Notamacropus eugenii: one gene and its partners. The protein of the gene in region 1 interacts with the protein of each later gene in a pairwise test. Links are inferred from orthologs where the notes say so. Each region holds a gene or a part of one and is shown on either strand. Other genes may lie near its edges. The genes, in order: TMEM79, SLN and SFTPC.

The links.
Region 2: the proteins of TMEM79 (region 1) and SLN interact in binary tests that used the Homo sapiens proteins (3 or more experiments, as listed by UniProt). The two-hybrid records come from large-scale screens. The link is inferred for Notamacropus eugenii from reciprocal best matches to the Homo sapiens genes TMEM79 and SLN.
Region 3: the proteins of TMEM79 (region 1) and SFTPC interact in binary tests that used the Homo sapiens proteins (3 or more experiments, as listed by UniProt). The two-hybrid records come from large-scale screens. The link is inferred for Notamacropus eugenii from reciprocal best matches to the Homo sapiens genes TMEM79 and SFTPC.

Annotation. Positions count from the first base shown.
Region 1 is NC_092873.1:380,363,763-380,371,898, reverse strand, and holds the start of TMEM79 (transmembrane protein 79), read right to left. Parts: upstream 3,488-8,136; 5' UTR 2,583-3,487; intron 2,004-2,582; exon of another isoform or gene 1,950-2,003; intron 1,520-1,949; 5' UTR 1,458-1,519; coding exon 743-1,457; intron 203-742; coding exon 1-202. Other genes in the region: nonsense-mediated mRNA decay factor SMG5, read left to right, coding at 3,734-3,807, 7,215-7,313, 7,918-8,041.
Region 2 is NC_092876.1:147,262,661-147,270,633, reverse strand, and holds the start of SLN (sarcolipin), read right to left. Parts: upstream 3,304-7,973; 5' UTR 3,220-3,303; intron 1-3,219. UniProt on the Homo sapiens protein: Reversibly inhibits the activity of ATP2A1/SERCA1 and ATP2A2/SERCA2 in sarcoplasmic reticulum by decreasing the apparent affinity of the ATPase for Ca(2+). Also inhibits the activity of ATP2A3/SERCA3.
Region 3 is NC_092872.1:612,486,818-612,495,071, reverse strand, and holds the start of SFTPC (surfactant protein C), read left to right. Parts: upstream 1-5,070; 5' UTR 5,071-5,255; coding exon 5,256-5,306; intron 5,307-6,347; coding exon 6,348-6,506; intron 6,507-6,899; exon of another isoform or gene 6,900-6,952; coding exon 6,953-7,075; intron 7,076-7,441; coding exon 7,442-7,552; intron 7,553-7,669; coding exon 7,670-7,807; 3' UTR 7,808-7,817; intron 7,818-8,236; 3' UTR 8,237-8,254. UniProt on the Homo sapiens protein: Pulmonary surfactant associated proteins promote alveolar stability by lowering the surface tension at the air-liquid interface in the peripheral air spaces.

The DNA of each region.
Region 1 (8,136 bases):
AAGAGGCCAGTGAGCAGGGGTAGCAGCTTGAGGGTGTCCTGGGGCAGGTAGGTGGCAAGTACAGCCAGGTTGAAGAAATAAAGGATAAAGAGCTGAACAGACTGAGCCACGTATTGCCTGTGGATTTCAACTTCTCTCTGTTGTTCCCCAAAGGGACGGAGTGCGGAGAAGCACAGCAGGGAGAGACCATAGACCAGAAGCCCTGGATTAAGAGACAATGGGATCCATGATATAAAGTGGATAGCAATGAAGATGAGGAGATAGATGGGGAAAAGTAATGAGAAAGGATCAAGGAGAAGCAGGAGGAAGAAGACTAGAGTTGCTGGAGGAAGAAGAGTGAAGCAATGAGATAAAGAGCACATGAGCACAACTGGACCAGGCACATAAGAGCAAATCCATAGGAAGCTGGGGTGTGGTGAGCTTCAAAACATGGAAATGGGGTGAGAAGATGTGAAATGGAGTAGTCCAAAGGCAGAGAATAAGGAAAGGGGGGGCTTAGGATGGGAAGAGGCATAGGCTTGATATGCAGGTGGCCCTTTCAGAATTTTGATGAGTCCAGTTCCTATGCCTAGACTTCCCCACATCCCATGTCTAGACATTGCCATCACTACTCCACCCCACCCACACACTGTTACCTTCTCTGTACCAGATCAAGCTTGTTCACCCTCCTTGGAAAACTACCCCTTAACACAGGCATCCAGTGCCCCTCTGGGATGCCTATTCCCTTCCCACAAATACTCACCTAGAATTATGGGAAAGGTGGCAAAGACCCCACAGCGGAGTGTGTAGACGAGTCGAGAACTCATGGTGGGCAGCCGGGGGGCATCAAAAGGCAAGAAGGCATAAGCTCCATATAACAGGCAGGGAAAGACGATAAGAGCAGCCCCAAAAGAGGCCACAGCCCTTAACCCCTCACGGCCACAGGCTCTACAATTCCCACAGCGAGTTGGGGGCTCTACTGCTGCCTCTGCCCACTTCCGTTCAGGGGGGTCTGAACGGGAAGCCCGTGGCAGCAGAAAGGCCTGGCATTCACCCTCAACTTTTTTGTCACAGTGGACTATGAGCTCTTCTTGGGGCCTCCTCTCAATGCACTGTGGGTCAATTGGCACAAATGCTCGAGCTGCCTGCTCAGGCATCAGGTTAAGGTCTTCCTCAACTGGCTCCTCTGATTTTAGGGGCAGGTCAGCTAGAATGGGTTCTTTATCACATCCTCGCCAACCAGGGGGGTCTGGGAAAGGGGCACTGGGCTGGGGGCCAGTACCTAATGATGTCCTCACCCAGGGCAAAGTAGTAACTTCACTGCCAACCTTCTCAGTCTCATTCTCACAAGAAGCAAGCTCTTCCCCATCTTCCCCCTCTGATCTGAGTCCATTAGGGATGAGGGGCTGGGGCAAATTCTTCTCAAGGGCATCTTGCCCCTTTATCTCCAGCAGAGTCAATGTCTCGGGTTCTGTCATGCTGGGGCAAGGAAGGAACCAGATGTCTGGATTCTGGGGTATAATACTGGATTGCCGTCACCCTAGGAGGAGCAGAGAGAGAATTTGTTAAATATTTTCTTCATCCATAAGGAGAAAGGGCTTTAGGACCGGTACTAGGAGAAGGGGCTTGAGAAAATTAAGTCATTGTTCTCCTATGGTGGCCAGAGTTCCCCATACTCTCTGTAAAAGATTTTGCTCATGTCATTAAGGAGAGCACTGGAGGGAAATGGTAAGAGATATCTCTGTTTCCCTGGAAATTTAACTCAGATTCTTCCTAGTTTGAAAATTCTGTATATCTATTATTTCAATGCCCTTCTCCCCTAGATCTTAGGAAGTGTTGTGGGTAGAAAGGAAAGCAAGAATATTTCCCTGGGAAGGGGAAACTGAAATGGAGTCACATTTTGACATTAGCAGGAAAGGATGAGTCAGGGAGACAGAACTCAGACATCCCTGCTAATCCAGGTCTCTTACCTCCTTCCCTTGGTTCACAACACTGCTGTGGTCTTGGCCATGACCATCAAACATCTAAGAATGAGTGGAGGATACAGTATCTATCTTCAGTCCCTCCTTCTGCCTATCACCCCAAGGTCCAGGACACTCACTCCCCTCACATCAATCTTGTGCCCCTGCTCCTGCTAAGGATCTCTCTGGAGATTCAGATAGCCATACCCTCTCTTTCCCCATTGAAAACTGGAGATTCCCAATCTCCTCCTTGTAAGCCTCCCGCCCCCCCCCTCCCCGGCCCCCCCACATACATCCTGTGGAAGTAAGCTGGAAACCTGAGAAGTGAACAGCACCCACAGAAAAAGCCCATGGTTAGGGTTTGGGGGGTAGGCAGAAACTCAGCCACCAGTGCAACAGCCCATTCTGTTACTTGGCCAACTTCCCATCTCACTGATAAAGTTTAAGGGTCCAACCTTTGTCCACCTGGAAAATCTATTTCCAATCACTGAACATTTCCTCCCTCCCTGTTCCTGTCTATTTTCCCTTCTCCTCTCCCTTCCTTCCTTTTCTTCCAATTCCTCACCATTGACTGTGCTGATTTCCCTCAGGGTCTCCACCTCATCCTCCCCCTCACACCCCGGCCCCATAAGCGTCCCTTACTTTCCATCTAGAGAGATAGAAGGGAGATCCCAGGACCCATCCGGGAAAAGAGCTGCTCCAGCTCCTCACTGGCTCTGCAGGTATTTCTTCGTGTCTCCCTCCCTTTACCTGCAGCTCCAAACCTGTCTGACCAGAGCAGGTGGGGCTGGGATTAAAGGGGAAGGCCCCACCCTCCCTCTTCGGAATCCTCCGACAGAAAAAAAAGAGAAAAGGTCACTGTCCCTAAGGTGTAGGTGTGGCCACATGAGGCGTGTTAAGGAGTGGTCTGTACTAGTGGATCTGGCTAGGAGAGGACACGATGAGGATTGGTTTGGACTGGTTGATATTAATGTGGAACTTGTGGGTTCTAGTCTATGAGATGGAAAAACTTGTTTCCATTTCCACACTTCCCAGACTAGGGACTGGGCTAAATCTCCAGGAAGGATGAAGGTTGGACAGCAACCAAGGGCGTCTTCCAAGAGACAAGAAATGAGAGTGAAATAAAGGATTGCTGCCCTTTCCCGAAAGTCCTTAAAAGGACTGGAGAGAACCCTGTTGTGCCGGGCTGAGTTGGGCGAAGCTAAACCGGGCTGGTCTAGTCTGAGCAAGATGACCACTGGAAATCAGGCTGGAGGTCGTGAAGCAGGAGGCTGGGAGGGAAATCAGTGGAATTAAATCTTTGGAAGGAGAGGAGAGTCTTCATCTACTTGAATCATTTTAAAAGCAGAAGAATGGACTATGTGACCACAGGAGAATAAGGTCACAGGCAGACCTCCTGCTAAACACCAGATCAGACTTAGCTTAGCTAAGCTCAGCTTCCGCCCTCTGCATCGTCTTCTGTCCTTTCCATAGGCTTTGTTAATAAAGTTTTTCGTGAAGGGTAAGAAGCTAAAAAAGCGGCCATGTTGCCCAGAGTTAGTATTGGCAGCTCCCTGCCCACCGGAAGAGATCAGATCTCGCGAGATCTGACGACAGTGGAGGTGCTGGCGCGGCGGTGCTGTTCTCGTGAGATTTGGTGGCCGGAGGAGGAGCCGTCGCGGGCAGCCGCCTCACAGCGATGGCGGCCGAGCAGGGCCGGCGACGGCGGCGGCGGCGGCTACGGCCGGAGACGGCGGCGGTGGCGGTGGGTGGCAGGCGCTTGTAATCGGGAGCCGCCCCTGGACCCGGGCACCATGAGCCAGGGCCCCCCCGCAGCGGAGAGCAGTGAGCCCGAGGCCAAGGTCCTGCATACTAAGCGGCTTTACCGGTGAGAGGGTCCGGGGCGGGAGAGGACCTGCCGGGGAGGTGGGGGGGAGAGGCACAAGGTGGGGAAGGCGGGGGAGGGGAGGGGCGGGGTGGCAAAAGGCAGGCGGGGGCGGGGCCACGTTGAAGGGGCGGGATTATCCCGGGTACAGATGGAGAAAGGGATTTTGGAGGGAGCTGGGAGGGGCGGGACTTTCGAGCTCGGGTTAGGGTCTAAGAGTTGGAGTTGGGGTGGGAAGTGGGTTGGACACGTGGAGAAATGTGCGGTGGCCTCGCGGTTGGGATTGAGTTCCCCGGACGAGTTGGAGTTAGAAGATAAAAATAGAGCTTGAGAAGTGTTGGTGACAGTGAGATCTTTGGCATTCCTTGGGTGGGAAGGAAGGGGGGTGGGGGGAGGCCTTCAGCCTGCAAGAGAAAACTCAGGAAAAGGGAAGGGACCCAGTGGGGAGGGATCGTGGAAGTCTGGAGGCACAGCATGGGTCTAGGAGCTGAAAGGCTGACCCTGTATTGGACACGGGCTTTAGGGAGGTGTAAGGAGTGGTTGATGGGTGTGCTGTCCGGGGACCTGGAGTCTCAGCCTGGTGGCTCATTCCACATACTTTATGCCTTCTCTCTGATTTATAACGTGCCACACCTCGTGGGTCATGACTTTAGTCCTTTTTTTGGAGCAGGATGGCCTCCTCACTCAAGTGAGTGGTCCTAGGGAGATGGGGAGGGGAGGTTGGCAGAATCTTTCATCCCATAAGTGGGTTCCCTTTGGGATCGTGGCATATGCTGCATTTAAGCTTTCCATTCCTAAGCTAGGATTGGTCTTTGCATTTGGCTCCAGCTTGGGGGCTTAGGACAGGAGAAGGCAACTCCTCATATTCTCAGGCTGCATCCCAGAAGGGAAAGAGCCAAAGCTTACTGTGTCTTCTTCAGCAAGTGGGCATTGTGCCTGTTTCAGCTGTGCCAGCCAGAGGGCATGGGGAGATACAAGCTGCTCCAAAAATAGTCCAGCTATCAAATTCAGCAGCCCGAAGGCTCCCACCTTGAGCTGCCCCTCATCTGTCCCTGGATGCATGAAGAGCAGGCTGGGGGTGACACGTGTGTCTCTTCAGTGCTGCCGGGTGTCACTGCTGCCTGTCGCACAAAGCGTGGGCAGGCACTGGGCGAGATTTCTCTCTAATCTCCTGCACCTGGTAGTTGTTCTGACCCTCCTCTGAATCATCTCAGAATCTAGTCCCTTCTAAAAACCACCACTTTGAAATGCTTAAAACCTGGTGTGTTGATACATGCATGTACAGATGTTGGAATTCTCTCTTTGTGCATGGCTTCAGGCATGAGATGTGAGCCATCTAATCACTTGTCATTATTATGTATATGTAGCAAAGGCATTTGGCAGAAGAGAACTGGGGGTAAGGTGTCTTTTTGATTTCTGTATCTAGAGAACGGATTCCATGAATAAGTGTAGGACCTGTATCTAGAGAGATACAATAAGGAGCTATCCCAGTCTTTCTGTGAGTGATTGAGTAAGCAGGGAAAGGGATATTGGAAGTTACAGGGTTACCACATCAGGGGATTCTTTTCTTTTCATACATATACTCACATACTCTTCCCTCCCCCCACCAAACTGTTAATCAGGAAGCATTTTTGAAGTGCTTACCTTGTGCCTGGCAATGTGCTGTGTCCTGAGGAGGCAAAAAAAACAAACTGCTTTCAGGGATCTTAGATTCTAATGGAGGAATGACATAAATAAATATAGAGAAGATGCATATGTGCAAAGGAGAAACGAGATAACCTTAAAGTGGAAGGTACCAGCAGCTGGGGGAAACCAGGAAAGGCTTCCTTCAAAGTGTTTGAGCTGAGTCTTGACCCAAGCCGAGATTCTGAGAGGCAGAAGTGAGAAAGGAGAGCATTCTACACCTGGGAAATAGCCAGTGCAAAGTCACAGAGATGAAGAGGTAGCATGCATCAGGAACAGCAAATAGGCCAGTCTGGCTGGACCACAGAATCTGTGAAGAGGGTAATATGTAAAAAAGATTAAAAATGTGGGAAGGAGGCAGAGAGTTTTAAATGCCTAAAAGGATTTTATATTTCATCCTAGAGGGGATAAGGAGTTGCTGAAGTTTATTGAATAGTCAGGTGATGTAGTCAGATTGTCACTTTAGGAAAATCACTTTGGCAGCTGGGAAATGGATTAGACTAAGGGGAGACTTGAGGGAGAGAAACCATTTAGAGGGTCATTGCAGTAATCCAGGCAAGAGTTTTTCAGCACCTAAATTTCTGTAGTGGCTTTGTGAGTGGAGAGGACATATCAAGTACATGTGATAACTAACACATCATGTGTAGAATGTGAGGAATTGAGAATTGCACTAATTGTGCAAATGTAGGTGACTGATAGGATGATTTGGAAGAGCAGTGGCTTTGGGAGCAACAACAGTGAGATTGGTTTTGGATGTACTGGGTTTGAGATTCTGTTTTGAAAGGTGCAAGGGCCAATTGGTGATAAAGAACTGGAATTCAGGAGAAAGAGACTGGTATTGGATATATAGATCTGCATAGAAATGATGATTGAGCCTCCTTGAGAGGTGATGGGATCGAAAAGTGAGAGTATAGAGAAAAAGAGAAAAGGGCCCAGGAAAGAACCCTGGGATACACAATACACACAGTGGGTAGGTGTTAGTTGTAACATGGATGAAAATCTAGCAAAGGGGAAGTGGCCACTTATTTAGGAAAGCCAAATAAGAACGTGTCAAGAAAACCCAGAGAGGAGATAGTATGTTAGAATAAAACATATATTGAGTTAGTAAGTAGTTGGGACCCTCTGGAGACAATTATTGATATAGGATGGGGTGCCTAATCCTGCTGCCAGAAGTCTGCCTGTCCCTTTCCTCGATATTAGGTACTTCTTGGATTGCCTGTGAAAAGGCCTTGATAACCATTTAGCCAGGGGCTGGCAGCTACCCTGCTGGCACTAGAATAGCTATCTAGGTGCCAGGCTACTGACAGGGAGGCAGAAGTGCTTGCTTCCACCCCAGGCAGGAGAGTAGAACTGGATCTGCTTGGGAGTCTTGACAAGGTTGGTCTTTGACCCTCCAAAGGACATAGGGGAACAGTAAAGACTGACTATGGTCCCTCCACAACTGAAAGACAAAGTAGTTGAGGTGAGAGCTGCTCTGCTTGTTAGTATAATGTCATTCCTGCGTCCTCTCCCTTCATCAGTCCTAGAGTTCCTACTCTAATGCAAAGCAAGACATTAAGAATGGCTTTTCTTTGTGGTTAAGAGATGATAAGTTTGCAAAGGATAGGTTCCAAGAATTCTTCAGTTTGAATGGTATCTCCTTTAACCTTTTTTCTAATCCTAGTTCTTTTACCCATGCCGTCCCATACTCATGGCTCAGGGTTTTTCTGTCTTGTATTTCTCTTCAGGGCAGTGGTGGAGGCTGTGCATCGGCTTGACCTCATCCTTTGCAACAAAACTGCTTACCAAGAAGTGTTCAAACCAGAGAACATTAGCCTAAGGAACAAGTAAGCTGGGGCAACTGCCAAACAACAGTTCTCAATTCTCCTTCGTTTCCATCCCTCCTCATTTACCCTGTTCTTATCCTTAGTAAGCTATGTCAAATTCAGAGATATCCTGATAGCCTAATAAGAAAGACTGTCATCTTGTTGCCCAAGATCTTTAGTTTTTTTGAAGGGCAGAAAGAGGAAACAGCTCCCAGAGTCACTTTTCTTGCTTCATCTTCAGTCTCCATATCCAGTAGATTGGAGATAGGAACCACATTTGAATCATGAGGAAGAATTGTCTATATTTCACCCTGGAGGAAAGGAGAGAAAAAGAAAAATCAGAAGAAAAGAAAACAAGATGTTAGGGAGGGGAGTTGTAGTTTATTGAAATTCTTACATGTCTTTTGGGACTTCTATTTTTTGGAATGGGGATACTCAGTATCATGTCTTTTGTGACTTCTGTTTTTTTTTGGAATGGGGATACTCAGTATCATTTTAGACTGTCTCTTAAGTGAGAGCACAGTTATCTATGTAGTAGGTGTGTTATCAAATGTCTCCTTGTAGCCAGTTCATCTCTTCAGATACCTCAGAAAACTTTCTTTCCCCAACCCCTGCCCCCTCCTAGGCTTCGTGAACTCTGTGTCAAGCTTATGTTCCTGCATCCAGTGGATTATGGGAGGAAAGCAGAGGAGCTGCTGTGGAGGAAGGTGTACTATGAGGTTATCCAGCTTATCAAGACCAACAAAAAGGTAAGAGGAGAGGTAGAGCTGGGGAAGGACAGTGAGGAGGAGCATCTAGGGAGGGGAAGAGCCAATTGAGGGCCAAAGAGGGTGGGATAGAGGAA
Region 2 (7,973 bases), on another chromosome or scaffold:
AAGGCAGGAATACAGAGAAGCTTTCCACCTTCTCCAGTGTCCACAATTCTGCAAACATCACATCCATATAATCCTAAAAACACCTCTCACATATTAGCCAGTCCTAGGGAGTAAGTGCTAAATTTAGATGTACTGCTATTTTAATAAGAACTTGTGCCACCTAATTTTAGCCATGCTGTGTTAAGATTATAAGCTTCTCAAAAAAAAAAATAGGGGTCATATCTTGATGTCACATCTAGCACAGTGCCTGACATATTTTAGGGTGCTCAAGAAGTATTAAAGTATAGTATCATACTAACACATTTTATGAATTTGATCAGATTCAATCACTTATTAACCACATATGACACAGACACTATGGCTGTATAGTCGCTCCACACAAATCAAATAAATTGGGACAGCTATAATTAGGTAATGTTAGAGGAAGGATTTGAATCCAGGTCCTCTGAAGTCCAGGATGATGATGGCTCTCTTTATAGACCACCAAAAAAAAATCTCAATCAGTTCAGTTTTTTTTAATCAATTAGATAAAGAATTGGGGGGGGGGAGACTTGTAAAACAATGTTTAAAAAGATATCAATAAAAATTTATTTTTAAAATAGTTGAATTAAGATATTCATTAGACTTTTTTTGCCTCCTACTCAACTAACTGATGGAAAAATGGAAGGGAAAGAAAATTAGATTTGAAGTCAGAAAATCTATGTTCAAATTCCAGCATTCCATTTTACAAACTCCATGACCTAAGGCACATCACTTTAACTCTCAAAGTCCTTATTTTTTATCTGTAAATAAAGAATAGGACCTGCCCTTCTTACCTGGCAGGCTAGTTGTGTGGCTCAAATAAAAACATTTTTGTGTAATTCTACTGAATATCTGCTGCCATTATATTCTGGCATTTTAAAGACAGAACCATACATAGCAGTGGGTGAGCAGAACTTTCTGGAGATGAAGAAAATAATTTTAATACCTTACATGTGTGGCACAATTTATAGTTTTCAGAGAATTTTGACATACTTTACCTCATTTAATACTTATGATAACCCTATAATGCAGGCTGGGCAAGTATTATCCCAGCTTTCCAGTAGAGGAAATGGAGGCTAAGAGAGATTTAATAACTTGTCCAAAGATCATTCACTTAGCAAGAGAGACAGTGTGATGTGGGAAGGGCACTGTATTTGATGTCAGAGGGCCTGGATGACCTTGGGTAAACCATTTTGCTTTTCTGGGCCTCTGTTTCCTGCCTGTAAAATAGATGAGACTAGAGAAATGATTTTTAAGGTCCTTTCAACTCTAGATTCTAAGAGTCTAAGCACTGAACTCCAGCCAAGCTCACCTTGTAAACAGAACTGTGTGCGATAGTGAAACTAAAAGAATGGTTTGGGGTCAGATCAACCATGAGAGCCTTTCCAGCTCTGAAATGCTATGATGACTAACTACCAGGATTAACAGGTTCAGTAGAACAAAATATCTGTAAATTCCCTACAGAGCATTCTCTTCTGATAGGCTGGTTGACATACTGCTTCTATCTTGATTTTTATCCTGCAGAATTACTTGCACTTTGAGGATGACCTTGAATACACTTGTTATGCATCATAAAGCATCTTGCAATCTAGTACTTGAAAACAATTTTTAAAGTATTTTCATCATTAAGCCCAAAAAAATGTAGTATAAAACAACAATTTAAAAAAAACCCCAAAAAACAAAAAAGCCCTGAAGGTTATCAGCCTGTGACAGTTTTTAAGAACTCCTCAGGCCATTTTTACATAGCCACCATACCTTAGGGGACATGAAGCAAAGTCAGTAAGGACGCAGAACAGTACACTTTTATTTCTTAGCAGATTCCCTTCAAGAGTTAAGCATTATTTCTGGCACATAGAGTTGGGAACTAAAGATGTAGTATCCTTGACATGCTGTTTTGGTTCAGTCATTTCTGTCATATCCAATTCTTCTTGACCTCATTTAGGTTTTTCTTAGTAAAGATGCTGGAGTGGTTTGCCATTTCCTTCTCCAGCTTATTTCACAGCAGAGGAAACTGAGGCAAACAGGGTTAAATGACTTGCCTAGGGTCACGCAGCTAGTAAGTGTCTGAGGCCAGATTTGAACTCAGAAAGATGAGTCTTCCTGACTCTACGCCCAGCACTCTATCCACTGTGCCACACAGCTGCTAATCATGGCATAAGGAATTCCTAGATGAGGAAACTCCCCCTGCCAATGAAGGATGATACTTTCTCTGCAATTTATAGTCTTAGAGAGTTGCTTAGATTACTATTCAAGGTCAGATAACCAGTATGTGTCAGAGGCAGGAATAGAACTTAAGACTTCCTGTCTCTAGGGCTAGTGGCTCTCTATGTACTAGACTATTCTGTCTCTCATCTGACATATAGTGAGTGCTTAATAAATGCTTCTTGATTGATTGACTTAAGGCCAATGTTCACCACCTTTCAGACCCCATCCAGAGTTGAGTTCACAGTCTTCGTGCCTGTTGCCAAACCATCCAATTGTATTTGGGTGTCTTATCATGGGCTCATAGATTTTGGGTTGGAAGGGGCTTTAGAGGTCATCTAGTCCAATTCCATCACTTTACAGGGAAAGAAACGGAGGCAAAAGTGACACAGGTGCAGCAATAAAATCCACATTCTCCATCCTTGAATCCTACACAGTTTTCACTATACCTTACTGCTTCTCAGTGTAGTCTGCCCCCAATAAGGTAATAGGCTCATAGATTTGGAGCCAGAAGGAACCTCAGAGGTCTAGTCTAATGCTGTCATTTTGTAGAGGAGGAAATGAGACCCGGAGAAGTGGAATGATTGTTCAAGGACACAAGTGGCAGATCTGAGATTCAAATGCTCTTTCCACAGAACCACACTGCCTCTCATGAAATATGAATGAAAAGGAAATTCAGAAAACCTTGATTAGTAAAGCAATACAGACATTCAATGCATTTGCATGGAAATTTTCAGGAGATTATCATCTATAATCTTGAGGCAAAACTCCAAAAGATAAAGGGACTAAAAAAGAGAAGAGGAAAAAATAACCACATACCATGTGGAAAAAACTGAAATTGCTATTCACCTGATATTATAAGGAATATTAAGTGTATAATCTTTATTTCCTCTAAGCACATTTTTCAAAATCAGTAACTTTTTGTCATTCTCATTTACACACTCACACATGCATACAGACATTCAACATAAACATTAAATGGCAATTCTTCGTTACCAGGAGATGAAAAATGATGGGCTGATTCTTGGTCCTGAGTTTTTGCTGTGCTCTTGCTGCCTTTCCAGGACGGTCTGGACTCCCAGTCTCTTAGCCGCAGCTAAAGTAGTCAGCCCCAGGGAGGAGGGGTACAAGGGTGGTGGCAATCAGAGTGATGTCATTAACCAAGCATTTCCAAGGAGTAACCTGGACAGATGGGTGGCTATTTGTGCTTTGGGGGGCCAGAGGGTTGTACTGACTTACACATGGACAGCTCTGTTCTTTGCGATCAATTGTTATTAAAATCATGGAGACCTCTAGAATGCTGTGTTTCCTACTGACTTTTGCAGTCCTTAAGTTAGGGCCTTTAACCTTTCACTAATTCCTGCTGTAGAAAAGTTTTAACAAATAGGGATTGCTGGATCTGTTTTTAAGACTCACAAACTAAGAAAAGAATTAAGATTAGCCTTGGAATGGGCATTTGGGAGTCATGCACCAGCACTGACACCAGGAATGGAACTGAGCATGAGAGTACCACCCAGGATTGAGTTATTTGAACTAGAAAATTCTCGCTCCGTCCTGAATGAAGCCATCTTTAGCTTTTTCAGAACTGACTGGAGGCCAGACAGCATAATATACTAGCATTTGCACCTGTTGCTGCTTGATATTTCAACTACGATTTTCTCTGTGGATCATCACCCTAGTGTATATTTTAATCTAAGACAACTGTGGAAAAAGTGATTGGTAGCCTTCTGTAACAAGAAAGGTTATTAGTATTTCTCTGAAGTAAAAACTGCCTTAGTTGGGTAAGTTGGAAGAAAAGCCAGCCAAGATTCATAAAAAGAATGTTTTCCTCTCAATCAGTGTAGGGAACTCCCACGCCTTTCTCCACAAGATGCAGATCAACAATTTATAATCTTAGGGTTTTGCCTGGGACACTGAGAAGTCAAATGACCTACAAATGGTCAACACAGCTAGAATGGGTCTGAAGAAGGACTTAAACCCGGATCTTTCTGATTCTAAATCCAACCCTTTATCCACTACAATAAACTGCCTTTCAGGGAGAACTATGAATTACAGAACATCTCTTCAAATAATACTTTTTATTATTCTTAAATAACTATGGAGAGTAATTTATAGGTTACTTAGATTATCTGACTGATCCTTACAACAACCCTAAAATGTAAGTTGGGGTAGGTTGATAATAGCAGCTAAGTGGAGCAGTGGAGAAAGCGTTAGGTCTGCTGCCAAGAAGCCCTCAACTTCCTGAAGTGGCCCCTACCTCCCAGGGTTGTTATGAAGATAAAATGAGATAATATTTGCAAAAAGTTCTGCCAACTTAAAGGACTATATCAATGTTAACTATCCCTACTGTACCTACGAAGAAACTGCAGTCTCTTGTACAGAGGGTTAGGCAGATCATTTATCCTGCCAGTGACCCTGGCAACTCTCTTAAAACTATAAATGGCAGAAAAGTTGCACACTCTGCTTTAGTACACAGAGTTTCTTTCTCCAGTAGTTTGCTAGAACAATAAAATCACTGAGTTCAATCCCTATCTCTCTTCTTTTGCATATTTATCCCATTTGAGCCTTAGGACAACTGAGTAAAATAGATGCAATTATGAATCCCTTTTGACCGACAAGGAAACTGAGACTCAAGAGATGTTTAGTGACTTACTCATGACCACACAATTAGCAAATTTCAGGGGTGAGCTCCAAGTTCAGGCTTCTTCTCACAATAGCAAACTTTTGGTTTTGTTGTTATTGTTATAAAGTCATTTTTCAATCATGTCCTACTCTGCATGACCCCATTTGGGGTTTTCTTGACAAAGATACCAGAGTGATTTGCCATTTCCTTCTCCAGATGAGGAAACTGAGGCAAAGTTAATTGACTTGCACAGGTTACACAGCTAGTAAGTATCTGAGGCCAGATCTGAACTCAGGAAGGTGTCTTCCTGACTTCAAGCTGGGTACTCTCTGTTCACTGCACCACCTAACAGGACCCTACCATTCTACAAATCAGGACACTAAGACTCAGAAAAAGCAAGTCATTTGCCTAAATTCACACTGCTGGTAAATGGAAGAGCTAGGACTTGAATTCAGATCTTTAGATTCCAAATTCTTTACCCTGAACAAACAGAACTAGACTGACAAAGTTTTGCTTAGTAGTTTTCAATTCCTTAAATTGTAATATTGTTCCCCTTTTGAAGTTAAGGGACTCACAACATTGAAATCTAAAGGGGAAGCCTTTCTAGAGGCAAAGGAAAACAGTCTGTTTCTCATAAGGTTAATTAGTCTTAAATAGTTCATTTGCCTATGAAAAGACCAGTGAGACCAGTAACTTTCCCCGAGGAACAGATCTCTTTAATTCCTTTACCCCCAGCTACTTATCTACATAAGACCCAATGGAAATATAGCTGATCATCATAAATAAAGATAGAGATTAACACTGAGGGAAGTCACCCATGAACTAGGAAGAAATAATAAATAGGAAAGGTTAAACCTCTCCTATGTCTTTCCTGGAGGCTAGAGTACTAGCCCTGAAGGAGTTAACACAGAGAGACTCCTGCCAATCCTAAGCTAAGGGTCATCACTCTTTATGAAAGATACTCATGGCACTCCAGCTAAACAGATCATTGTAGCACTCCAGCTGAAGAATGTATAGTACCACCCAGCCAAGCTTGTGACTGAAGATGGTAAGAGATTGTAACTATCCATGAGAAAGCTATTGTTAGGTGTCCAGCAACTTGACCTGTCCAGCAGAGATGCTATGGTCTGTGAAAAGCTCAATGGTCACGCTAGCCACCAAAGCCATTCTGAAAGCAGCTGCCTAGGAGCTAAATGACCTGTCCATCTCAGTCAAGGAGCAGCTGGATCTAGTAGCCAAGCAAGCTGCATGGTCTTTCCCAGCAGTCACTGATCCCAGTGAGGAGACAGCTCAGTAACCAAGCAACCTGCTTGACCCATTCCAGCAGTGAATTGTCCTATCCATCTAAGACACCATGATTTGCAAGGAATCAGTTCGGTTGAGGAGGGAAACAACTTTTCATCATCAGAGCTATGCTCTACAAGCAGACTTCATGAGGACCCTCCAGAAGTCAAAACAAACAAAACAGACAAAACCACACAAACAAAAAATCATGACCCAGCAGATCCAGATTGGTGAGTTGACTTGGCTATCTATGCATATGCTCCACACATGTACTCCACTAGCACTGTACTTTAAATTGTGCTTATTCTTTCCCTCATAGACTGTATGTGTCTTTGTGGGACAGTATGCACCAAGCTTTAAAGGAAATGCTTTGTAACTTTTCTTCTTGTTATGTCTCTCAGTAAATGTTTTTCTTTGCTAAGGAATTGACTCTACTGTCTAATTATTAAAAGTAAGCACACAAGTGAGAGCTCATGAGCTAAAACTCCTGTAAAGAGGATAGCCATACTCAGAATCTCCCCAAAACCATCCTAAGGATTGCCCCTAGAACTCTGAAAGTAGTAGTAGCTTCCCTTCTGGATACACAACCTGCTTAATACCAGTGTGAGTTGAGGGAATTATGCCAGATGGAGTATCATATAATGATTAGATATAACTGATAATCATCATATCTATTTTATATATCTAAATGGTATAGAATCATAAAGATTTAGAATCATAAAGAGGTTGAGTGTTGTTGAAAGATGTTTGTTCTCTTAAATACTCTAAAGATCCTTCTTACAATCATCTATATAATTTTATTCAACAAAACTTTAATTTATTGATATTACAGAACAAACCAGTCAAGTTTCCACATAATCATGATTTTATTCTATCCAAATTGCTATAACAGATTATCCCTGAATATAGATGACATCTTCAAAATGTAGTCTCTCTGAAAAGAGAAGTATATATGTATTATGTGTATGTGATAGATTGTGTGGGTAGTAAAAAGAGAGCTGGTCTTGGGGCTTAGAAGACTTGAGTTCAAGTCTGGTCTCTGATATACTGAATGTATGACCCTAAACAAATCATTTTACCTCTAAATGTTCTAGACAACTAAGATTATAAATAGCAGGGAACTAAATTTGGAGGGGAATTTCCTCTTTGAGAGTTCTCTGTATCAATAAGATGATTGGTCTGGTCCATATCTATATATTTCCAAATATGCTCATGTAAAAGTATAGATAGATAGATAGATAGATAGATAGATAGATAGATAGATAGATAGATAGACAGACAGATAGATAGATGATAGATGATAGATTAGATAGATAGACTGATAGATACAATAGACAGAGATACTATCATGTGGAAATACCACGCTAAATTAATATGTAATATATTCAGAATCAAAGTGAGTTTTTCTACATTTCTTTCCACTTAAACAAATGTTTTATTCATCTTTATCATCACTTTTCCTCTCTTGAACAGTTTGTTCAATATTCAGATTATTGACAAAGATGACATCTGCCATCTGGATGCTATTCCCCTTTCCAAGGAAAGCTTCTAACCTCACTGCACCAGTCCATCTGCCACATTAGGGCTTCCCATTACCGTTTTCATGTTCATGGAATCACAGTTTTAAATCAAAAAGGGATCTTAGAAGACATTTAGCCCAATTCTCTAATTTAATAGATAAGGAAACTGAGGCCCAAAGAAGTTACATGACTTGTCCAAGGTCACATAAGAAGCAAGAGAGAGGGTTCATATTTGAACTTCTAACTCTAAGTCCAGCACCCTTTCCACCACACCATAGTCTCCATGTTTCCAATAGCACTATATGTTGACATTAAAAAAAATC
Region 3 (8,254 bases), on another chromosome or scaffold:
CCTTTGATCTCTTTGGGATATAAGTCTAATATGGTATATCAAGGGGTATGCACAGTTTGGTAACTTTGGGGGCATAGTTCCAAATTGCTTTTCAGAATTCACAGACCAATTCATAGCTTCACGTCTGACAGTAAGCTGGTCTGCCTATTTTCCTGAAGCCCCTGCCCCCCAACATTTGTATTGAATTTACAATCTTCAAAACACTTTCTTCACTTTCATTTGATCTTCACACCCACTCTCCAAGGAAGAGAAGGCAGATAGTATTAATCATAGTTTAAAGACATAGGAAACCAGCTCAGAGATGTGATATGACTTGCCCAGGTTTATACAGCTAGTAAATGGTATAGCCAAAACTAGAACTCAAGCATCTCGATGCTTCAGCATTCTTCTCACTATACTACCTGTATGCTGCCTCTGACTCCCTCTACCCAAATGAAAGTGGGGACCTTGACTCTTTCCATCCCAGAGAGAACATAGAGAATGTCACTATAAAGATAGGCAAAAGATTCAATTCTAGAGAAAGAGATGAATCACTTTGGGTCATGGTTCTCTATGGAAATCTGGTGGAGCCTGTGAACCCATTCTCAGAATAATGTCTTAAAATGTATTAAATAAAACATATAAGATTACAAAGGAACCCAAAAGTTAGCAAAAATAAAGATGTAATAGTCTTCCTCCCATCTGAGTTCACAGACCCCCTGAACTCTATTCAAGCATTCTTTGGGGATCTGTGGACACTAGGTTAAGAACTCTTCATGTAGAGTAATGGTACTCCTTGGGACCTAGATCTGAAATAATAGACTATCAACACTATTACAGAAATAACGTCTGAGATTCAGGTTGTCCCCTTTCAATCAGTTGTTTCAATCAGTTGTCAATCTATCAAACATTCATCTATTGAGGGAGTGTTTGTAAACACCCATCATATGCAAGGGAGTATACTATAGCTTGATGAACAAGTCAAAGATTGTCCTACTCTCTAGGAGGTCATTGGTCTAACTAGAGAGCCAAGATTAACATACATGGAAAGATAACTGAAAATACAAAGCAGTAAACAGTGCCACCATCAATGGTACATGAATACTAGTAGTTCATTCCTGTGGTTTGGAATTGATTGGAAAGGCTTTTCTGGGAAGGGGAGTTTTTTACTCAGGTCTTGAAGGATGGGTCGGATTCAAGATATGATGAAGAGAATAAAAGATGGCTGAAGAATGAAGTTCATAATAGGGGATAAAGATAGGCTGGGTGAAGATTATATAGAACCATGAATGTTAGCAGGGAATTCTTTTCATCAGTCCCCCAGAAATCTTCAAACCCATTAACATGTTGGTGGCTATTCTCAGAGAAAGAGGAAAATAGTCTTTCCATCTGTTTTCTATTCTAGCCAAAGGAAAATTTTCCATCACCTTCTCCCCATAACTACCCCTAAAAGGTAGTGGATTTGAGAGTTTGTGATACCTCCTGTTCATCTGAAGCCTTGAGAGGAAGAAGGTAGGATTTAGAGGAAGAAGTAATCTTATAGTTTATTTAGTCTAAAACTCTGCATCCTATAGATGAAAATACAAGAGCTCAGAAAGGTCGAATGAATTACTTGCCCAAGGTCCCAGGGATAGTAAATGCAGAGCCAGGATTCCATGAGAAGGAGAATAATGACCCGGATGGGGCAGAGACTTGCCCAGAGTCCTCCAGCAATGTGAAAGATTCAGGACAATAAATTCACAGTCTAATAATTTATGCTACAAACTCCCTCCCCCCACACCTTGAGATCTGACTAGATCTCCTGAGAACAAGCTTCTGCACAATTGCAAAGTTCAAGACACTCCCTAGTTCAAGACACTCCCTAGGTCAAGGCCCTCCAGCCCCTAGAGATGCCCACAGGGTCCCCGAGATGCCTTTGGTTCTCCTTGGCTTTCCAGTTGGCCCAGTGCCCCACCTGGCTCCAGCCCAGTGCCCGTGAGTCAGCTGATCAATTCCGATGTTGCCAGGACAACTAGGGGAAGAGGCCCCAGGGAGCTGGCAAGGGTGGGCACTGCAGGCAGGCAGGCTCCCAGTCTCTTGCACCTGGACGTGGCTGAAGCAGCATTATTGGGAAGGCAGGGAGTATGAGGCTAGGATTTCTTTTTTCTTCCTCCATTTTTTCTCCCTTCTAACTCCCCCTCCTCCTGCCCTCAACCTTCTCCTGAGACATTTTTCTAACTAGAGACTTGGGCAAATATTTAAAGGGGCAGTTGGAGGGTTGGGGGTAAGGAGCAAACAATCTCTCCCTCTTCTTCTTCCTCTCCTTTGAAACCTTTCTGAAACCTCTTAGGCCCTCTCAGGGGCCAGGAATCCAATTAGTTGCACAATTTCTAGGGCCTGAGTATACTCTAGTTGTGGGTCATAGGTAGGGGAGACATGTGCATGTGAAGCCAAGGGAACAAGGTGTCAATTTTTAAATTTAAAAAGAATCCAGTAATAGTTGGATTAGGGAAGATAAGGGATAGGAATTGGGGAAAAGGCCTGGCATTTGGAAAATTGGATAGCTGGGAAGCAGTTGAAGATATCAGAAAAAAAGAGGTGAGGGGGGAGTTGGGAGGGACAAGTTTAGAATTAGGGAAAATATGCAGAGGAATCTAGGGGGAGAATGGAGATGGAGTGACAGGAGACTAGTCACCCCGGAAAAGGAAGGCTAGGTGGTGACTTAGAAGAGAGGATCATACCAGTCAATCAGTCTCCTGTGCTAGGTGTTCTTGGGGGATACGGAAACATAAAAATAATTGCTCACATTAATATAGTGCTCTAAGGTTTGCAAAGTACTTGTCACTTTTGTGCCTCATAATAACCCCATGAGGTGGGTGCTGTTATGATCTTCATTTCACAAATGAAGAAATTGACACTCAGGGTAAGTAATTTGCTCATGATAAAGCAGCTGGTAAGCAGAATTAGAATCGAGGGCTTTCTGATTCCCTTAGCTTCACCACAAACCTGTGCCAGAGGCTAGAACAACCCACTGCGAACCCTGGCCTGGGCAGCCAGAGGGGTGGGGAGACAGGTGTCCTGTAGGTTAATGGAGGGCTCTCCCCACTAGTTTGACTCCTAGCCATCCTTCAAGGCCCACCTCCTTCACGGAGACAGCCCTGATGACTATCCCCTGACGATTTCACCCTCCTCCCAACTCCTTTACGGCTTACTGACTGGGGTAATCAGACAATCGTTGATGCTGTTGCATGTTGAGAGTTATCTCTGTGTGTGTGTGTGTGTGTGTGTGTGTGTGTGTGTTGTGTGTTCCCTCCAAGCTGGGCTCCTGGAGGGCAGAGATTCTGTCTTTTCCCTCCTTCATACCCTCTTAAGCACATAGCATAACAGACATGGGATAAGTTGTGCCCCTCTAACATTAGATGTATGAGATGGGATCTGAGAAAGAGAGCCTGAGATGGTAGAAGCAGTGGCAGACTTAAAGTCAGAAGACATGAGTGTGAGTCCTGGCTCTGATATTTACTAATTGGGTGTCAGGCGGCTCAGTGGATAGAGCGCTGGGCACAGAATCTGCTTCAGACATTTACTAGCTGTGTGATCCTGGGCAAGTCACTTAGCTGCTGTCTGCCTCCATTTCCTCCTCTAAAAATGGGGGTAATAATTGTACCTGCTTCTCAGGATTGCTGGGAAGATAAAATGAAACAATGTTTATGCTATGAAGATAAAATGAAACATGTACTTTGCAAACCTTAAAGTGTTGTATAAATGCTAGCTATTGACACTGTTGCTGTCACAACTGCTTCTTCTGCTACTGCTACCACTACGGCTTCTACCACCACCACTACTATTATTACAGCCACTGCCACTACTACTATCACTACAACTGCTACTGATGCTACTGCTACTACTATCACCACTTGCTGTTGTTGCTACTACTACTTCTACTACTGCTGCTGCTACTACCACTGCTATTGCTACTACTACCACCATCACTACTGATACTGCTACTTCTACTACCACAGCACCCATTTGAGCCTTAGTTTCCTCTTTTGCAAAATGAGGATAATTTTAACTGTGTTGTAGCTCATAGGGCTTGGAGGAGAGCCCTTTACATAATCTTTTCTTCAAGGGATTGTTTAGATGGCTCGTAGTCTAGTTGGGGAACCAAGAGTAACATATGACAAATGGTAAAAGATGGTGTATCAGTCAGTTCTCTACTCAAAGGGAATTTGAAGTCTTAAAGAGTAGGAAGGAACATTTGGATTCCAAGGATGATAGGATTCAGACCTTAGATTGCATCCAGTCTTAGCACTGAGGCCCAGAGAAGGGAAGTCACTGGCCCAAGGTCACACTGGAAGTAAGTAGCAAAGGAAGGTTTCAAACCCAGATCTTGCAACTCCAAATTCAGGGCTCTTTCTATTACATGTGGGTGCCTTCATTACTATAGGAAAAGCTCAGTGCTGAATGACTCAGTAAAGTCAAGGGAGGGGAAACAGGGAGTAGGTATGGTGGAGGGGGAGAACCGAACCTATGTGGGGAATTCGTCTTTTGGCTGAAACCTTTGCAATCAGCCTAAGGCCACAGTAACACCCCTGCACCCAGTAGCAATTGTGAGTGCTGCTTCCCTTAGGGCAGGGGTGGGGAACCTGCAGCCTCGAGGCCACATGTGGCCTTCTAGGTCCTTGCATGTGGCCTTTTGACTGAGTCCAAGTTTCACAGAACAAATCCTTTTATTAAAGGGATTTGTTCTGTGAAGTTTGGTTCAGTTAAATAAAGGGCCACACTTGAGGACTCATATGTGGCCTTGAGGCTGCAAGTTCCCCACACCTGCCTTAAGGACTCTGTTTCTGGAGCAAAGCCCTTGCAAGTTCATATAGGAGAAGAACAAATAGAGGAAATTATAGGAATCCAACTGTGCCAGGGACCCTGTTGCCCAAGTCTCTGTAAAAAAAGAATAGGGCAATGCCCCAAAGGCTGAAGAACAGGGGCAGTTTCCAACAGGAAGGGTAGAAACAATAAAAGAGACACTCATGGCAGGTGAAGCACATTACTTAAGGCTCCTTTTACTCAGCTTGAACTTGGAGATGGTTTGCAATGCCCACGAGGGTTTTTGTGTCCCAGGATGAGAGCTCTTAGGCACTCAAACTCTAAATTATCAGAGGCTTTGATTCTGGAGGGTTAGGAACAAACAGGATTCAAAGCTAAGGGCCTGCCACACCACCTCCATTGTGTGCTGTAATATATAAGGTCCGGGGACTAGAAGGCTGGAGGTGTGAGGAAGGCAAAGAGCCCAAAGCAACATGGATATGAGCACCAAAGAGGCTCTGATGGAGAGTGCACTGCCACCACCGGTAAGAGGATGAGAAAGGGCCCCCAGCCAGGAAGCCATGGTATAATGGGACTGAGGGCTCTCCACCAACACCCACTAACCCATACCCTAGGCTAAGTGTTTCATGTACATTTGTCCCCAGAAGCCTGGCACAGGTGTTAGCCTGGGGCAGCCAGGGGTGGAGACACAGGGAATATATGTCTAGGTGTAGGGCTCTTCTCACCTGTCTGACTCCTACCTGGCCTTCACGGCCCAAGTCAAGTCCTATCTCCTCCTTGAAACCCCTCCCTGATTACTCTCCCTTAACTTTTTTCATTCTCTCAATTCCTTTACCGCTTTCTAACTGGGACAATCTCTGGTCACTGAATGTTTATAGTTATCTGTGTGTGTGTGTGTGTGTGTGTGTGTGTGTGTGTGTGGGGTGTATATGTGTATGTTCTCAGCTGGATTACTTGACTACAGAGATTCTGTTTTCTGCCTCCTTTTTATACTTTTCAGGACCTAGAAGTATAGCACATAACAGGAAAGTGATAAATTCTTGGTAATTGGTTAATTGACACTAGGAGATATCTTTAGGAGTTTGTTTATGCAGGGTAAAAGAGTGGGCAACCTCAGGGATAGGATAGCAAAAAATCAAAAAGAAAGAAAAGAATAGAAAAAGAAAGAAAAGAAAAAAAGAGAGACATTAAAAGATCTTTTGTAAAAATACAGATTAAAGAACAGAAGGGAAAACAGAAAGAAGCACAGACAAGCAGGACAGCTTTGAAATATATGAGTTGAATTGATCACATACTTTAAAAAAAAGCAAGCTGTGTATAATGGCAATCTGTAGTTTTGTGTGCAATCTTGTTTTTTGTTCTACTGTATGTATGGAAATGTCTATTTTTATCTGGTGTTTTTAAAATTCAGAATAAAGATAATTTTTTTTTTAAAGAAAAAAAAGAATGGGCACCCTTGCTGATGGACAAGAGTGGCCAAGTGGCAGTGGGGGTGGGATAAGGAGTCATCCAGCCATGACCCCCAGCTTTGACAGTGATTTCCCTGGCCCCTTTTCCCATAACAGGACTACTCCGTCACCCCTCAAGGCCGATTTAGAATACCCTGCTGCCCTCTCCACCTCAAGCGGTTGCTCATCATTGTGGTGGTGGTGGTTTTGGTGGTGGTGGTGGTGCTAGGGGCCCTGCTCATGGGGCTGCACATGAGTCAGAAGCACACAGAGATGGTGAGGGGGTGCTGGAGGGACTGGCAGCTTGGGAGTGGGCTGGCAGGATGGGCAGGGAGGGAAGTTTGGTTTGGGATGATGGGGCACTGTGAGCAGAAGATCATGGGGCTATGGAGAGGGTTGATCATGGAAGGCATGGGGTTTGGAAAGGCTGAGAGAATGGGCACAAAGCAGGGCACAGAAAGAACAGACCCAATTCGACCTGATTAAAGAATATCAGAGTTGGTACCCTCCAACCCTCTCCACACCGGCCCAGGTGCTCTACTCAGTTCATTCTGTCTGGGTAGCAAGAATGGGGTGGGCACTGCCCATAGACCAGCTGGAGGCTGCACTTGGGAAAAGTTCTTGGAATTGGGTAAGGACACTGAAAGGATAAAAGAGGAATAAGCCCACCTGAAATGAGAGGAGGTCTTGGCGGAACTGACAGAGGGCATCCAATTCTCTAGGTTCTGGAGATGAGCATTGGGGGGCCAGATGCCCAGCAGCGCCTGGCCCTCAGCAGGCAAGAGGGAACTGTCTCTACCTTCTCCGTTGGCTCCTCTGGCACTGTGGTCTATGATTACTATCGGGTATGCAAGAGATGCCGCAGGGCTGGTGTTAGGTGTGGGGGGGTGAGGGTGGGGTAAGTCAATCACCAGATTGAGTGGAAGGTGGGGTTCCCATATCTCTTGAGCATGTTTGGGATTTAGCTTAGGTACAAACATGCCTGAACACCAGCCTCTACCTTTGTGCACTCCTCCACACTTCATCCTGTGGTGGTCACCTGACCTTCCTTGAGCTCTTAGCTCCCAAAAGATCAGCAGACTCCAAATGCTGTTTCTCACAATCCACTAGATGGAGACTGAAGCTCTGAACCCTCAAAACCCAGATCTGGATTGAGGGTGAGGTTGTGTGTAGGAAGAAACTTTCTTCAATTTTTTCCCTTCCATGCTCAGCTCTTAATTGCATACAAGCCTGCCCTGGGTGCCACCTGTTACATCACTCAAATGACTCCAGAGGATATCCCCAGTCTAGATGTCATCACCCGAAAATTTCAGAGTCACCTGGTGAGTGGTGCTCCACATTTTCATTACACACTCTAGGTATTTGTATCTGATATCAATCATTCTCCACCCTTGCGGGAATGTCTATTTTTTTTTTTTGTTTTTGTTTTTGTTTTTTAGGCTAAACCTTCTTTGCCTACTGCTAAACTGGATCATGAGGAGGACTCCCATGCCAGCTCAGAGTCCCAGGTGGACCCAGCCTTCCTGGGCACTACTATGAATGTCCTTTGTGGCGAGGTTCCTCCGTACTACATTTAGGGACCATCTGGTGAGCAAGGGAATAGAGGCAACGTTCTTGGAGGGTACTGCTAAGTTGAACCAAGGGAACTGTGGAAAGGATGACATTATGTCTGTGTCTGCCAAGGGGCACTGAACTCAGATGAACCATACTGGGGAGAACTGGAGGGGGTGGAGGAGGTGGATCTTACTCAGGAAAGCTCCGAAGTGGGGGTGGGCAGGAGAGTTGAGAGTCTCATCCACTCTCCTTCCTCTGGAAAGGAATCTTAGAAGTCATTAAGTCTAACTCCCTCATTTTACAGATGAGGAAACTGAGACACAGAGAGGTTCAATAACTTGCTGAGAGTGACATGGCTAGTAAATACCTGAACCTAGGTCCAAGTCCAGAGCTCTATATGCTGGCTCTCAGGGTAACCTCCTCCCTTGGTAACCAGTGTCTTTGCTTTCTAGGTTTTGAGCTGCCAAGGG